Tamandua tetradactyla: one gene and its partner. The protein of the gene in region 1 purifies or fractionates together with the protein of each later gene. This does not show direct contact. Links are inferred from orthologs where the notes say so. Each region holds a gene or a part of one and is shown on either strand. Other genes may lie near its edges.

The links. Proteins that work in one complex are often made in the same cells at the same time.
Region 2: the proteins of GRB2 (region 1) and MYH9 purify together in Homo sapiens (affinity purification with mass spectrometry; 3 studies listed by BioGRID and IntAct, with this or other methods). This does not show direct contact. The link is inferred for Tamandua tetradactyla from reciprocal best matches to the Homo sapiens genes GRB2 and MYH9.

What each region holds. Positions count from the first base shown.
Region 1 is NC_135332.1:15,811,138-15,818,198, forward strand, and holds the start of GRB2 (growth factor receptor-bound protein 2), read right to left. Parts: upstream 3,240-7,061; 5' UTR 3,027-3,239; intron 2,459-3,026; exon of another isoform or gene 2,325-2,458; intron 1,912-2,324; exon of another isoform or gene 1,715-1,911; intron 1-1,714. UniProt on the Homo sapiens protein: Non-enzymatic adapter protein that plays a pivotal role in precisely regulated signaling cascades from cell surface receptors to cellular responses, including signaling transduction and gene expression.
Region 2 is NC_135333.1:28,689,407-28,697,357, reverse strand, and holds the start of MYH9 (myosin-9), read left to right. Parts: upstream 1-4,891; 5' UTR 4,892-5,079; intron 5,080-5,767; exon of another isoform or gene 5,768-5,786; intron 5,787-7,951. UniProt on the Homo sapiens protein: Cellular myosin that appears to play a role in cytokinesis, cell shape, and specialized functions such as secretion and capping. Required for cortical actin clearance prior to oocyte exocytosis. Promotes cell motility in conjunction with S100A4.

The DNA of each region.
Region 1 (7,061 bases):
AAAGTTAATGATAGTCATATGTGGAGCAAGAACAAAGAATACTTTTACTTTCTACACTATACATACACCTCAATTGTATTTCATTGTTTTTACAATAAGCATGTATTACTTTTGCTAACTGATGCTCTAGAATTAGACCTGGATTCAACAGTCACTTCACCACTTAGTAACTGGGTGGGGACACTGGAGAAATAATTTACATTCCCTAATCCTCAATATATCCTCAGCTGGAAAATGGGGATAACAACAGCACCTACCTTAGAAAGTTATTCTGTTGATTAGAAAGTACAGTCTCTGGCATAAAGTGCTCAAGAGATGCTAACTTGCAAGATCAGACCCTTTTCAAAGAGGGGTCCACATGTTATCACATTAAATCTAAATCTTCCATTTATATATAGACTTAGAAGAACTCTGAAAAATTAAGAGCTCTTTCAAATATAAACTTTAAAATTAAATTATTTCACATCACAGTCCTAACAATAGTCAAATATTTACACATTTAAAAATGAATCACATCAGACAGTCACTTATTCTACTAGGCTTCTAAATATTTACTTTGTATATAGAAGAGCTGTACTTTCGGTTGAGTAACTTTAAGCCACGCTCAGTCTCATTCTTTACCATAAGCAAGCTGCATCCTGGAAGAAAAGTTTTGGTTCACGGATCATCTGCATCAAAACTACCCAAAATTCACAGACAGATTCAGAGTGGTAAGGGGCCCTGGAGTTCTGCAATGAAAGGGCCTTTTGCCCAGAACCTGATTTTAAATAAGAGCCCCAGATGCTTCTTACACATACTAAACTTTAAGAATTACCGCTGTACAATAAAGGCATCTTAAGATTTAAAAATTTACATGCCAGACAGTGAACTACAATGTTTTGTATAAAATGAAAATAACACACATTCACTTGGCACAACTAGAAAAAAGCCATTTTGGACAAAAAAAGAAAGAAAAAGAATCTAAATGGTCATTCAATAATGCTGGAGAGTTCTTCTAATTTAAGCAGGTAACTATTAATTTCTTTTAAATTATGGTAGCTCTCTATTCTGTATTACTTCATTTCTTCAAACATAATGCAATTCTCCTGCTGCTGCATAATATCTGACATGATAACAAGAATTACTGGAAAAAATCTCTAAGTACCATGAAGTATTCAAATCCTAGTAATCCTCCCAAACCTGAATACACTTGCTGAAACTACCTAAAACCATTTATTTAAATGCTTGTTTTCATTATGAAAGAAGGCTGATTATCAAGAACTAATTTCTTTCATCTTGAGATTTGGAAAATTCTGACTATGGGAAGAGGCAACAGAGCAAATAAAGTTATCTATTTCTACCCTCTCAAAAAGGATGCTATCACAAACGTAGGGAAAAGACACTGAGAAAAAATAGTATTTCAATGGGTTAATAATAATTTAACTACCTCATCAATGGTCTAAATAAGTTCTATTCCCTTAAATTTTTCATGTCATCTTAAGGCCATTGCATAATAAGTTTAAATGATTTTCATTTTTTTAACATTAACCGTTACTCCCATTAAAAGTTAAAGTCATACAAGCCCCAAATTGACCCAATCTCCCTAAATATAAATGATACAGGGAAAAAAGCATAAGCAGGCCCAAAAGCACTATCTTAAAGCAAAGAAAACACCAGAACACAAATAACACAAGCAAACTACATTTGTGACCTAGTGGCAGTATCGATTACTTACGGATGAATTCAATCCTTTGAGCCTCCCAGTTCCCAGAGGGACAACTTAAGCTTCCCGTGGAATTCTAGCAACCCTTCTGGCTGGCTGAAGGAACACAGTGACCGCTTAAACGTTAAGGAATGGAAGCCGGAATGAGGGTATCTTCCCAAGAAAGAAAACGGAACCTTTAAATGAGGGAGAGAATGTACAGCCTACACCAAACTGCAGAAGAGGCTTTTGAGACAGGACACTAAGGAGGAAGGGGAAATAGACTGGGGGGGAGGGGAAGGGGAGGGAAGGGAAGGGAAGGGAGGGGGGGAAGTAGATGGGGGGAAGGGAAGGGGAGGGGGGAAGCAAATGACTTGCATTATACAAATAATGCATTTAGTGTCTATGCTAAAATGAAAATACCTAGAGATAGACAGGGAAAGCAATAACTGAAGAAAAAAGTGAAAGAGGGACAAGAGAGCCAAAATAGACAAATGCCAATTTCTTCATGTGTATTTCAAACTATTTTCTGCGTCCACAGAACCAAGTTAGACCTCGAGTGAACTTCAGCTCCTCTGCCAATCGTACTTTTATAGCACTTTAAACCAACCTAGAATAACTTTCTACATAAGCCGAGACTCACAATGCTTACGATATATATTCGTAGAGCTCTGCAAGTGAAAAATCCGTGTTTCTTGCCGAAATCGTTCCTGGGGCATTCCACCCAATTACCCAATTTTTCAGAGTAGCTCCCCCCAACTCCCTCCCCCCCCAAAAAAAACAGCGACAGAAATAATGGCATCTCTCCCGGCTCCGAGAGTAAACGTTCTAACGCACGGTACTGACAAGGTTGGAGGATTCCCTCATGAAATTCGGGCCCCGAACACCAACACTTGGTGACGTGGTGGCCGTGCACGTCGAAGAAGCATCACATTTGCAGCCTGCCCCGAATCCCCCGCCTCCTGGGCTAAGTCAGACTGACTCAGAAAATGAGCACCCAGCGCCTCTCGGGATTCTCCCGAGCCCCTTCAGAGCAAACCCTCAAGATAAACGTGGACTTTCAAGGAGAATCACCCCAAGGGGCCCCCGGGGTCCCAGGCTCTGCCTGAGAGCCGCGGGCGAAGGAAGACAGTCCCCAGGAAGGAAGCGTCCGAAAAGAGGAAACGTGGAGACCCGAGCCCCGGAGACTCCGCTCCTCGTCCCAGGCCTCGCCTACCCGACCCGAGATCCGCGGCCGGCCCGGCGGCCCGGGGCGGGCTCGGCTCGACCCCCGGGGTCGACTCCCGCCGCGGGGCCGGGAGGAAGAGGCACCCGAGCAGCGCCGAACGCCGCCGCCCGCACTCACCGTGGCGCAGCTGTTCTGCTCCGCGCCGGGCCGGCCCCTCCGCAGCGGTGCGAGCGACCGCCGACCCTGCTGCTGCTCCCCTAGGGCAGCGTCTGTGTCCGCCGCCGTCAGAACCAGCTTTCGTGACCGTTGCCGCCGCCACCGCCGCCGCCCGGTTGCCGAAGCACCTCAGCCTCCTCGCTTCCGCTCCTCGTCGGGGTCCCGCGAGAACATCTCCGCGTGGCCCCGCCCCACCCCGCCTCCGCGAGACTTCCCCCGGAGGAAAAGGCCCAGAGCGCAAGCGCTCCTTTTAGGCCGGGCCCTCGCAAGGTAGACACCATCTAGGTGCCAAGGCGCACGCGCCAGGCCGGTCCGCAGCAGGTGGCACTGGGAAGGCTCCGCCCCCTGGTGGCCGTAACCCTCTCGGTGCCAGAGCTAGTAAAGTACGCCGCAGACCCGAAGGTGTAACTCTTTCCAAACCATAGTCATTTTCCCTTCTCCTTACACCACAGCAAGGGAATGAGGGAAGAGGGGATACCTCTCCAACATGAAGCACGCTAAATAGAGGACCGTAACATGAAATGTTTGAGAACCGGTCCATACAAACGCTGCATTGTAAGATGAAATAACGGATTCGTTCGTTCATTAATCAAATCATGCTCCTAATATGTATTAGGTCTAAAAGATCCTACGACGGTCCCCTTGAAGGTGTGGGGAGAAAGAAGGAAATATTCAACTTCCCTATCTAGGGAATTCCTGACATTCTCGCAAGCAGTGGGGACAGTCAAATCAATAGGCTGAGCCTTCAATCAAACTTATTCCTGCAAAGGAGAAGCTAAGCCTACTTATAATTATGCCTGAGTCTCCCCCCAGAGAACCTCTTTTGTGGCTCAGATGTGGGTCTCTCTCTAAGCCAATTCGGTAAATGAACTCACTGCCCTCCTCCCCAAGTAGGATATGACTCCAAGAGGTGTAATTCTCCCTGGTGAAGTGAGACATGACTCCCAGGGATGAGCTGGGATCTGGTCTCATGGAACTGAGAAAGTCTTCTTGACCAAAAGAGGAAAGAAAGAAGTGGAACAAAATAAAGTTTCAGTGGCTAAGAGATTTCAAACCGAGTTGAGAAGTTATCTTGGAGGTTATTCTTTCGCATTATACAGATATTGCTTTTTAGTTTATGGTGTATTGGAGTGGCTGGAGGGAAGTACTTGAAACTGCTGAACTGTGTTCCATTAGTCTTGATTCTTGAAGATGATTATATAACAATATAGCTTTTACAATATGACTGTGTGATTGTGAAAACCTTGTGTCTGATGCTCCTTTTATCCAGGGTATGGGCAGATGAGAAAAAATAAGTATAATAAATAAATAATAGGGGGAGGAGAAAGGGTAAAAAATTGGGTAGATTGAAATACTGGTGGTCAATGAGAGAAAGGAGTAAGGAGTATGGGATATATGAGTTTTTTCTTTTTATTAATTTTTCTGGAGTGATGCAAATGTTCTAAAAATGATCATATTGATGAATACACAGCTATGTGATGATACTGGGAACCATTGATTGTACACCATGTATGGACTGTATCTGTGGGAAGATATCTCAATAAATATGTTTTTAAAAGATAATGAATACTTGGTTAAAGATTAAGAAAAAAGGGTATAACAATGAACAAATATCCCAGCCCTCAAGGAATTCACAGTCTGGAGGAGTAAGACAAGTAAACAATCATATAGCTATTGTTATAATTATTTGGCAAATGTTGAAGATGCTACAGAGATGGAGGGAGGGTTACTTTGCCCATCACAGAAAAGCCCTGGCTGAGAAGGTGATGTGATGATGTTTGGATTGAGTCTTGGAGGATGAGTAGGAGTTCGCCAGGCATAGAAGCTGGAGCAAGGCATTCCACATAAAAAGAACGGTGCCTACAAGGGAACTGAGGCATGAGAAAAAAGGAAGCGTTCTGTGCAAGGCTAAGTAGTTTGATGTCTGTACGTGACTAAGGGGAGTGGCAGAAGACGAGGCTTGGAGAAGTAACTCATTTTTCAGTTCCAAAAGCTCTTTCAATTAAAGGAGAGAACAGAATGCATCTGATGTTAATGTACTTTCTGGAAGCCAACAAAATAGCATTGTAATGAGACTAACCAAACATCTGATTCTGTAGAGAAAGCAAACCCTTTGGAATAAGGGAGGTTTGTTCTTTCACCAAGTATTTATTGGTCATCAACAGTGGGCAAGGTCCTGGGCAGTAAAAGTTGAACCTGACAGAGCCTCTGCTTTCAGCAGTTTGTGATCCAAAGAAACTTGCCTAGTCTGCAAGGCAGAGCAGTTGGCCCTAAGAACCAGTGAACTACATCTAGGACTGCAGAGGAAAGAAGCATTACTTGGAACTGGAACTTGAAAGCAGGGATGAAAGAATGACTGAACCAGTCAATATTTCAGATAGGCCCAGGATTTGGGGGAGAAATTAGATGCAAGGCCAAGATGCACAGCTTAGGTTTCACAGTCAGGTGATGTGCAACCTGCTCTGAAAACTTCTGAGTAGGAGATGTCTAATATGAGGGGACAGTAGAAAGTGGACCATCTATTTAGCATCTGCTTGTACTAAAATTGTAGCTCCTCTACAGCCTGGATAATATCCCTGTTTTACAGATTTGGAAACTGAGGGTCAGAGAGGTAACTAACTTATCCAAGGAAACCCAGATATTGCAGTCCTAAGATTTGAGCCTGTCTTATTCTAAAACCCATGTCTCTCCCCACCATGACACTCTGTTCTATATTGGTGGCCAGTAAAACAAAAATGAAAGGGAAGGACTTGGCAGCTGAGCCAAGAGGAAGAGGGAAGAGAGACAGTTACTTATTTCGTGGAGGCCCTGGGTGACAGAAGAAAACAAATTTACAAATCAAGAGTAGCTGATGGGGCTGGGGGTGGGGGCCATATACCGGGGTGCGGCAGGGGAGTGGGTAAGGAGGTGATGATGATGCCCTAAGTGTGGAAATGTGGAGTCCAGCACTCCAGGAGACATCCAAGTGGAAATATCCAGTATACTGATGAAAAGCTCAATGCATTCAATGATTCTCTGCACCATTTGCTGAGCATCAATTTGACTGAGAACAGAACAACCCCTCTGGGAGTTTGCAGCTTAAAGGGTATAGATGTCCCTCTGGGACTATAATAGGCTATTACTGGTGGTTTTGGCAGCCCACAGGAGGGGACCTGACCTAGTCCAGGATCAGGGAAGGCTGAGGAAGTAGGGTTAAGCTGAGAGCTGAAAGGAGAGTATTCAGTAGGGTAGCCAAACTGAGAGGGAGAGACTGTTTTAGGCAGACTTCACGTGCAAAGATCAGTAAGAGAGAACTCAAGGAAGCCAGTATAGCTGGGACAAGGAGAGAAAATGGGAAGAAGGATGTGGCATGTGGCTGAAACAGTTAGAGCGGCTCATGTGCCTTTTCAACATTGCTCAAGACTTGAGACTTGATGCTGTGAGATACTGAAGCAGGCGTGACCAGCGGTCAGATTTCATTTTCAAAATACTTTATCACTCTGGCTGCAGAATGGAAAATCGATTGGAACTAAGATACAGAGTGCCTACAAGATAAGATCTCCAGTCCTTTGCAAGACTTTTAAAGAGCTGGCCTCTGCTTACCAGCGCCCACCCGCTTAGTCCCCAGCCAACGCTCCCCATCCCCACCCCCATTCCAACACACACTTCACCAGTACTAAACCATTTGTGGTTTGCGGAAGATGCCATGATCTTTTGAGGGTCCATATCTTTATACTAGCTGTTTCCTCTGCCCGGTTGGCCTTCTCCCCTTTGTTAGGTCCCCAAGTCAATTTTAGAGCTCCTTCTCCAAAATTCCTGCCTTACCTCCAATCTCATTGCATTAACGTTTATTTGCTTCTTGGTTTCCTAATAGTCTCCAGGCTTCAGGACAGATACGACCATGCCTTTTCACATTTGTATTGCCAGCACCCAATACAGTGAGTAGCACAAAATAGGGTAAATGAAGTGAATAAATGGATGGATGGATGGATGGATGGATGGGTGGATAAATGGATG
Region 2 (7,951 bases), on another chromosome or scaffold:
CCCCCAGCTGTAGGCACCCACTAGCTTATTTTTCGTCCCTATAGATTTCCCTGTTCTGGACATTTTATTTACATGGAATCATATAATATCCGGGCATTGCGTCTGGCTTCTTTCACTTGGTGTAATGTTCTCAAGATTCACCCGTGTTGTAGCATGTATCAGTACTTCACTTTTTATTACTTAATAATATTCCATTGTAAGGATAGACCACATTCATTCAAGTGATGGAAATTTGGGTCATCTCTGGCCTCACATGTAACAGTAGTATGTACTTTTTTCCCTTTCTTTTTAGTGTGTACATTTTAATTGCTGTGTAGTATTTCATTGTATGAACATACTCAGTATATCCATTCTGCTGTTGATGGGCATTCCCCCCTAGTTTTTGGTTATTTTAAGAGACTCTGTCCATTTTTGTACCTGCCTTTGGTGGGTTCAGTACTTGTCTCTGTTGAGTACAGACTCAAGAGTGGAATTCTTGGGTCCTAGTATATGCTGTATATTCAACTCTAGTAGATACAACCAAACACTTTTTCCAAAATGGCTGTACCAATTTATGCCACCACAGTGTCTGAGAGTCCCAGTTGCTCCCAGTCCTTGCCAACACTTGGCATTTTAATTTTAGTCATTCTGATGAGGGAATAGTGGTATCTCATTGTGGTTTTAATTAGCAATTCTGCCATGACTAATCATGTTGAGTACTTTTTCATATGCTGGCCATTTGGATGCCCTTTTTTTTTGATGTGCTGCTCATTCAAATGTTCTGTTCATTTTTAAAAATTATCATTTTTTCTTATTGTAGACATTCTTGATAAATTCTGGGTCCCATCCTTTGTTACCTTTATATATTGTAGACATTTTCTTCCAGTTTGTGATCTGACTTTTCAGTCTTTTACTTGTGTCTTTTGATGAGTTCTTCATTTTAATGAAGTTCATGTTGACAATCTTGTCTCATAGTTAATACTTTTTTTGTTATGTTTAAGAAATTGTTGCCTACTTCAAGGTCATGAACATATTCTTGAACAGTTATTTTCAGAAGGTTTATTGTTTATTTTTCATATTTAGGTCTCTGATCCATCCTAAATTATTTTCATGTATAGTGTAATGCAGGGGGTCGAGATTAATTTTACCCCCATGGATATGTAGTTGATCCAGCACCATTTACTAAAAAAATTATCCATTCCTTACTTATTTGCAATGTGCTAACTTTGTAATAAATCAGGTGGTCATATATATGTTTGCATCCTCCAATTTTATTTAAAATATATAGAATATATGCATATATACTTGTACATATGTGCGCACACTTACAGATGTGTGTGTGTGTGTGTGTGTGTGTGTGCATTGGAAGGAAGTAACAAGGTTTGTTAATAGTTGCTACATAAGGCTATATGTGGTTTCAATTTTCTTTCTTTTTATTACTTTCTGCATCAAATATAACATTCAGACAAAACAGACGAAATATTTTTCTAAAATATTCTGGGAGTGGAAAGGATCAAAGGTACAGGTTTTTAGAGGTTGGAGGAGGGGTTAGGCTGGATGGCAAGGAGGAGGGCTTCCTTATTCAGGAAAGCATCAAGGTGTGGCAGACCTTCTATCTTCTTAATGACCTCAGTTACAAGGAAAGAGTGGGGCTAGGAGGCTGGAGGCTTGAGGTAAATGGAAATATTATTATCAATAATGTGTACTGATTAGCAGTCATGGTCCCCTATGCTTCTTTCAGCAGTCCTAGGGGTGAGTCAAGTCCTGGTGATTACACTGATTTTATGGATAAGAAAACAGAGGCTCAGAGACCTGCTCAGGCATGCATTGAGGACCATGTTATGCAAGACAAATAAGGCACAGCCCCTGTCTGTCCTCAGGTAGCTTCCAGCCTGGGTAGGGAAAGAGCAAGTAAATGGTTTAAAGTTTAAAATCCAGTGTGTAAGTGCTAGAAGGAAGGTAAATGCTTGTAATGTGGGATCACAGAGAGGCACCCAACCTGGCCTGGAGGGCCAGGGAAGACATCTGGGGAGAGGGGATATCGAAATGAGTCTTTTTAATCTTTTCTTAATTATGTGAGTGATACATATGTTTAAAAATACAGATAAGAAAAAATCAATCACAGTCCCTCTATCAATACATAATCCCTATTTACACTTTGATGAAATTAATGCCTTTTAAACTTAATTCTTTCTCTGAGAAAAACACATACATATGCAAACACATACAAAATTGCATAGAAATAAATGAAATTCCACTACAGTAGCATTCTATAGTTTATTCTTCCTCAGTATATTTTAAACCAATATATACAAATTTACATAACAATTTAAATGCCCTTTTGTGGTATTTTTAAACATATAGATGTATCAAAATGTAATCAATCTCTTACTATATTAATTCATTTATAACATTTAGAGACTATAAACAATGTTGCAAAGAAGAACTTTTTAACACACTGTGATGGTTAGATTCTTGTGTCAACTCGGCCTCCTGATGATGCCCAGTTGTCTGGTCAAGCAAGCACTGGCCTAATGGTTGCTGCAAGGATATCTGATGGCGGGTTGATAAGCCAGAAGGCTGGTTTATTAAATCAGCAGTCAGTTGATTGCAGCTTACTATCAACTAAGAGAGTGCCTCCTCCCAAATAAGTTAATCAAATCACCTGGATTTGGACCTATCAGTTGAAGACTTTAAAGGAAGGAGAGAGAATTTTCACTGTTTATTCAGTCAACAAGCCTCTCCTGTGGAGTTCGTCAAGACTTCTTCGGAGCTGCCAGTGTCACAGCTTGCCCTATGGATTTTGGGCGCTTCCATTTCCATGGTTGTGTGAGACACCTTTAAAATCTCATATTTTACAGATATCTCCTGCTGGTTCTGTTTCTTTAGAGAGCTCTAATACACAAATATCTGTGCATGTCTCCATTTTTGTCTTAAGATGAATTCTCAGAATTCTTTGGTCAATTTACTTTTCCACTGTGTTTATCAACTTGGCTAACTGGACATTTTTCTTCTTTTTTTTAATTTGGTAAGTGAAAATGGCATCCATGTTGTTTTTGTTCCGTTTTCTGATACTTAATTTTAAAAATTATTAGCCATTTATATTTCTTCATTTTGGATTGCCCGTTTTTGGCCATTTTTATTTTGGAGTTTTTTTGGGTTTTCTTATTGACTGGAAAGAGTTCCTATTATTGATAATAAGTCTTTGTCACAGAGTTGCAAACTCTTTTTTTTCTTTAGAACATAATTTTTTTTTCCTGAATTTCATTTGGGAGAACAGTTAGTCATAAGAGCAAGGCTATTCCACAGCAAACAGTAATGAGGAGAAATCTGCTCTCTCAGATATTGTATTAGTTTGTTAATTCTGCCAAAATATACCAGAAATGGAATGGGTTTTAATAAGAGAATTTAATAAGTTACACATTTAGTTCTAAGCCAGGCCATAAAAATGTCTAAACTAACACATCCAAGCAAAGATACCTTGACTCAAGAAAGGCCAATGTCTGTCACATGGGAAGGTCAGCTTCTGATGCCAGTGGTTTCCTGTCTACGCATCTGTGGGCTTTCACTTAGCTCCTCCAGGACACAACTCTGGGTTCTGGCTTGCTTAGCATCTTATGTGAAAGCGCGTGGTGTGTGCATCTCTGTCAGCTCTGAAGCAACTGTTCTCCCAGCATCTGCATCTGAGGTTTCTCCAAAATGTTTCTCTTTTTAAAGGACTCTAGTAAACTAATCAAGACCCACCTTGAATGGGTGTGTCACATTTCCATGGAAGTAAACCCAAGTTTCCCACCCTAAACAATAGGTCTGGCACCACAAGATTGGATCAGGATTAAAATATGGCTTTTCTGAGGGCACATAGTAGTTTCAAACCATCACAGATATAAAATGTATTATAAACCTGCAATGAGCTGGCACAGGGAAGATTAACAGACAAAACTCAGAAACATCCAAGTATATACAAGTTCAGCATATGATGAAGGTGGTACCTGAAATCAGTAGAGAAAATGGTGTTTGGACAACTATCACAAAAATCACGTCGGATTTCTTCACTCTAGAACCAAAATAAATTCTAAGTAGACTAAAAGCTAAGTGTATATAAATTTAGAAATTAAAAAATAGAAAAAATAATAAATAGTTATCATCTTTGGTGAAAAGTGATTCGCTTACCCAAAAGAGCCAAGAAAACATTTTGTAAGCGAACAGAGGAGTGGAAAGGCATTCCAGGCAGAGGGACTGAGCAAATGTCTGGAGACTCCAAGAAGCAAAGCAGCGTGCTTTACTCTAAATAGCCAGGGTCAGGAATCGAACTCCGGATGCCCACAACGGAATCCGGGACTGAGTCCACGCCCGCTCCCACAGGCCATAATAATTTTGTAAAATAGCACTTTTTCCATATATGGTACTTAATATCTGTTCTTCTGGTAGGATGACATAGGACAGGGAAAAAACAGCCCGCGGGGCCGGGCGCCAGCTACGCCAGCCTCCCCTGTCCGCTCCCGCCGGGCCTGCCCCAGCGCAGGCAATGCACCAAAGCCGGGTTCCGGAGCCGTCCGCGCCCGGAGCCGCCTCCTCCTGATTGGACGCTCACTGCGTCAATCCTCCTCCTCGAACCTGGCTGTCCGTTGGACCCGCCCTTGGAGGGCGGGGCTCCCGCCTAGGAAGCGCGGGGGAAGGTGGAGCGGGTGGAGCTGGGGGCGGATGGGGAGGACCAGTCCCCACCCTTCTGATCCAGGGGCTCCGCCCACCCCACTTTCCACAGGTCAAGATGTCCTTCCATCAAGACCCGGCGCATACAGGAGTGGGCGAGACAGCTTAGGGGCGGGGCCTTTCCTCCCTGCTCCGCTCACTAGCCGGCTTCGGACTGGGAATGGACCGGCGACTGAGAGGGCGGGGCAGGGGGGGCGGCGAGGATCCGAGCTGGGTGCGGTGAGGCGCGCAGATCACCGCGGTTCCTGGGCAGGGCACGGAAGGCTCGGCGAGGCTGACCTGCTGCCGCTCCCGCCTCGCGCGTTCGCCCCATCCCGCCGCCACCCGAGCGCTCGAGAACGCTCCCTCGGGAGAAGCATCGCCTGTTCCCCGGGGCTCCTCCAGGTCCAGGTGAGCGAGCCCCACCGGCGGGTCCCGCCCTGGGCCGGCGGGCGGGGGCGGCGGCGATGGGGCGCGCGGCGTCAGGGGCGCGCGGGCCGAACTGTGGTTGTCGGCCCCGGCGTGGCCCGCGACCGGCGCGGGCGGGCGCGAATGCCGGCGACCCCGGACCGGGCAGCGCATCCTCTCCGGAGGGACTGCGGGACCCCTGCGCGGGTGCTAGGGGACGGCGCCCCTGGGAGCGAGGCCTCCGGGAGCGGAGGAAGTCTTCGGTGCCGCGCGCTCCCGGGCCACGGTTCCCTCCCTCCCGCTGCCGGGCACGTCCCCCCCGCCCCGGCACTTGGGGACCCCGACCTCGTCCGACCGCCGGGGGCACGCGCCCCGCTCTCCCCTCGCCCAGTGCCCAACTTGGTAGAACTTTTTTAACCTCTTCCGGGGAGCCGTTGCCCCTTGGACCCAGCCGGGCGGGTGGAGGTGCTGTGGGGGACTCGAGCAGTCAGGGCTCCGGGCAGGGGCTCCTTTGGAAGTTTCCATGCGTTTTGGGGACGGAGGTAACGGGCGGGAGGAGACCGTTTGGCAGCTGTCAGGGCGGCCTCCTGAGTCAGAATGGGACAATCCCGCCGCAGACATTGCGCTCGGCTCGGTTTCCGCCCTGGGCTGCAGACTTCCTCATTCGCCCTGCTGCGAAGGGTCGGGCCCTGGAGGAGGGCGGAGGAGAGGTACGGAGGGGTGCGTGGGGAAGGGGGACCCGGCAGGGACGCGGCCGCGGCGCAGGAAAGAACACCCACCCCCCCCAACCTTTGACTGCTATTGCCGGGGAGAGGAAGGAAACCTCGGAATGCACGCAGCCGTCGGGCCGGCCTAAGCGTGCACCTGATTCCTCCGCACCCGCGGCCGCCCCGCCCGGGCCATGCGGCTAGAAGCGGCATCCTGTTCCTTTAGGTCCAGGTTTGGGTTATCGCATCTTGTCTGCTTGGGCCGGATCCAGGGTTTTGAACCCCTCCTCCCACTCCCTGTGCTGGAGTCCTCATCCCATCCCCGTCCTGGGGCCACTCCAAGGCCCCGGGTAGGACCAGAGCACCCCAGTTCCCTTCACGATGCCCATTGTTCACACTGAAACGTAGTGACTTCCAGGGCTGAAGCTCGCCTGCTGCCTTGAAGGTGGTAGTGGTGGTGGTGGTGGGGTGAGAGCCAGGACTGCTGCCGGCGCCCCACCCAGCCGGTGTGAAGGAGAAGGTTCCTGGGAAGTCCCAGGTCCGGAGGACGGCTGATTTTAGGGCCCCAGACGCTTCTCGGTTCACCGAGCCCTCTCAGCAGGATTTTAGAGTAACTGTTGAAGGGGAAGGAAGCTTAGTTCCTTTTGGGATAACACTATGGCCATTTCTGAGCCGGCCTGAAAACCTCTTGGTGAGGAGGAAAGCTGCTCTAAGGCCTATTTAGACAATCGCCCCACTAATATTTGTCAATTTATATATAAGGCTGCCATGGGTGGGGTGGGGGTACAGAGATGTGTAATTGAGCAAATATTTGACTGGCTTCTCTGCCAAGAACTCTGCCACGGAGTGGGGGTGGGGGTGGGGGTATGTGCAAGGTTGAGTAAGACCTGGCCCCTGCCCTCTGGCATTTAGGGGAGAGCCCAGACAAATCTGTCAATGACTCTAAAGTGAGGTGAGGTGGAGATGACAGGGACCCCAGAAAGGTACTGTGAGTCATGGAGATTGAGAGAAATGATCCAGCTCCCCCCCTCACCCCTGAGTGGAGATCCTGGAGGCCTCTTGGAGGAGGCCTCTGCCATCTGGGAGTTTGCAGTCTTCCAGGGGACATAGTGGCAGAATGACAGGAACACAAAGGCAGCCTGTGATGAGCATCACAAGAATGCCATAGACAAAGGACTCGAGGAATTCCAAGGCCTAGGGAGACTAGTTCTGTGTGAAGGGAGGAGAAAGCAGCTGTGAGGAAGGAGCATGTTGCAGGTTTGGCAAACTGAGGCAAGCATATGGTGTTGGAAAGTGAGGCGTCATCTAGTGGATAATTGGGAGGTAATTAAAAGTGTCAAGATTGCTCAGTGTAATTTGAGAGTCACCGTGTCCCTGGTGGCTGCTGGGTATTGCCAGGCCAGTGACACTGAAGAGCCCCACTCTCCACCTCCAGCAAGTCCTGGTACCTGGAGCTGGGGCTGGCCAGCTAGATTTGGGGAGTTATTCCTGGGAGAGGGGCAATTGGAGAGGTGTATTCTGTGCGGATGCTTGTCCTAAGGCTTGTGAGGGTAGATGAAAGAGGCCCTTTTTGTTTTTAAACTTTTTAATCTGAGGGGTTAGAGATGGGACAACTGCTCTCTTGTAGGATGAAGGATGCATGTAAATCACAGCCTGCCTTTTGCCTGCTCTTGCTTCAAAAAAAAAAAAAAAAAAAAAACCCAAAACAACAAAACAAAGATCTGTTAGCTCCTTAAAAGAAGAAAAGCACACTAAAAAAATGCAGCATTGTTGTGTTGCCTGATAGGGTATTGCTAGAAGCCAGGATGGCTGTGCTTTCTTAACTTCCTCTTCTAGCTAATCCTTCAATAAAGTACTTAAAACAGCCCTTACCAGCTTGATATCTTTATTTCAAAAGGAGAGGAGGGGTTGGCCATAGTATTTCTCTGAGCCTGGGCCCTACCCTTCTTTTGGAGGGAAAGAAAGAGAATCCCAAAGGAAAGGGAAAAAAAAATCCATGCCTTGACAGCTCCCTTCTAAGCATCATGTTCCAAAAATATTTAGAATAACAAAATCTGTGTCGTCTTAATTAAACAAATGTTCTAATTTGCTGAGCATAAAACAGCATCTCTGCCTGGGGCAGGAAGTACATTTTCCCTTTGTGCAGCCCCGGCAAGTCTCTGCCTCCC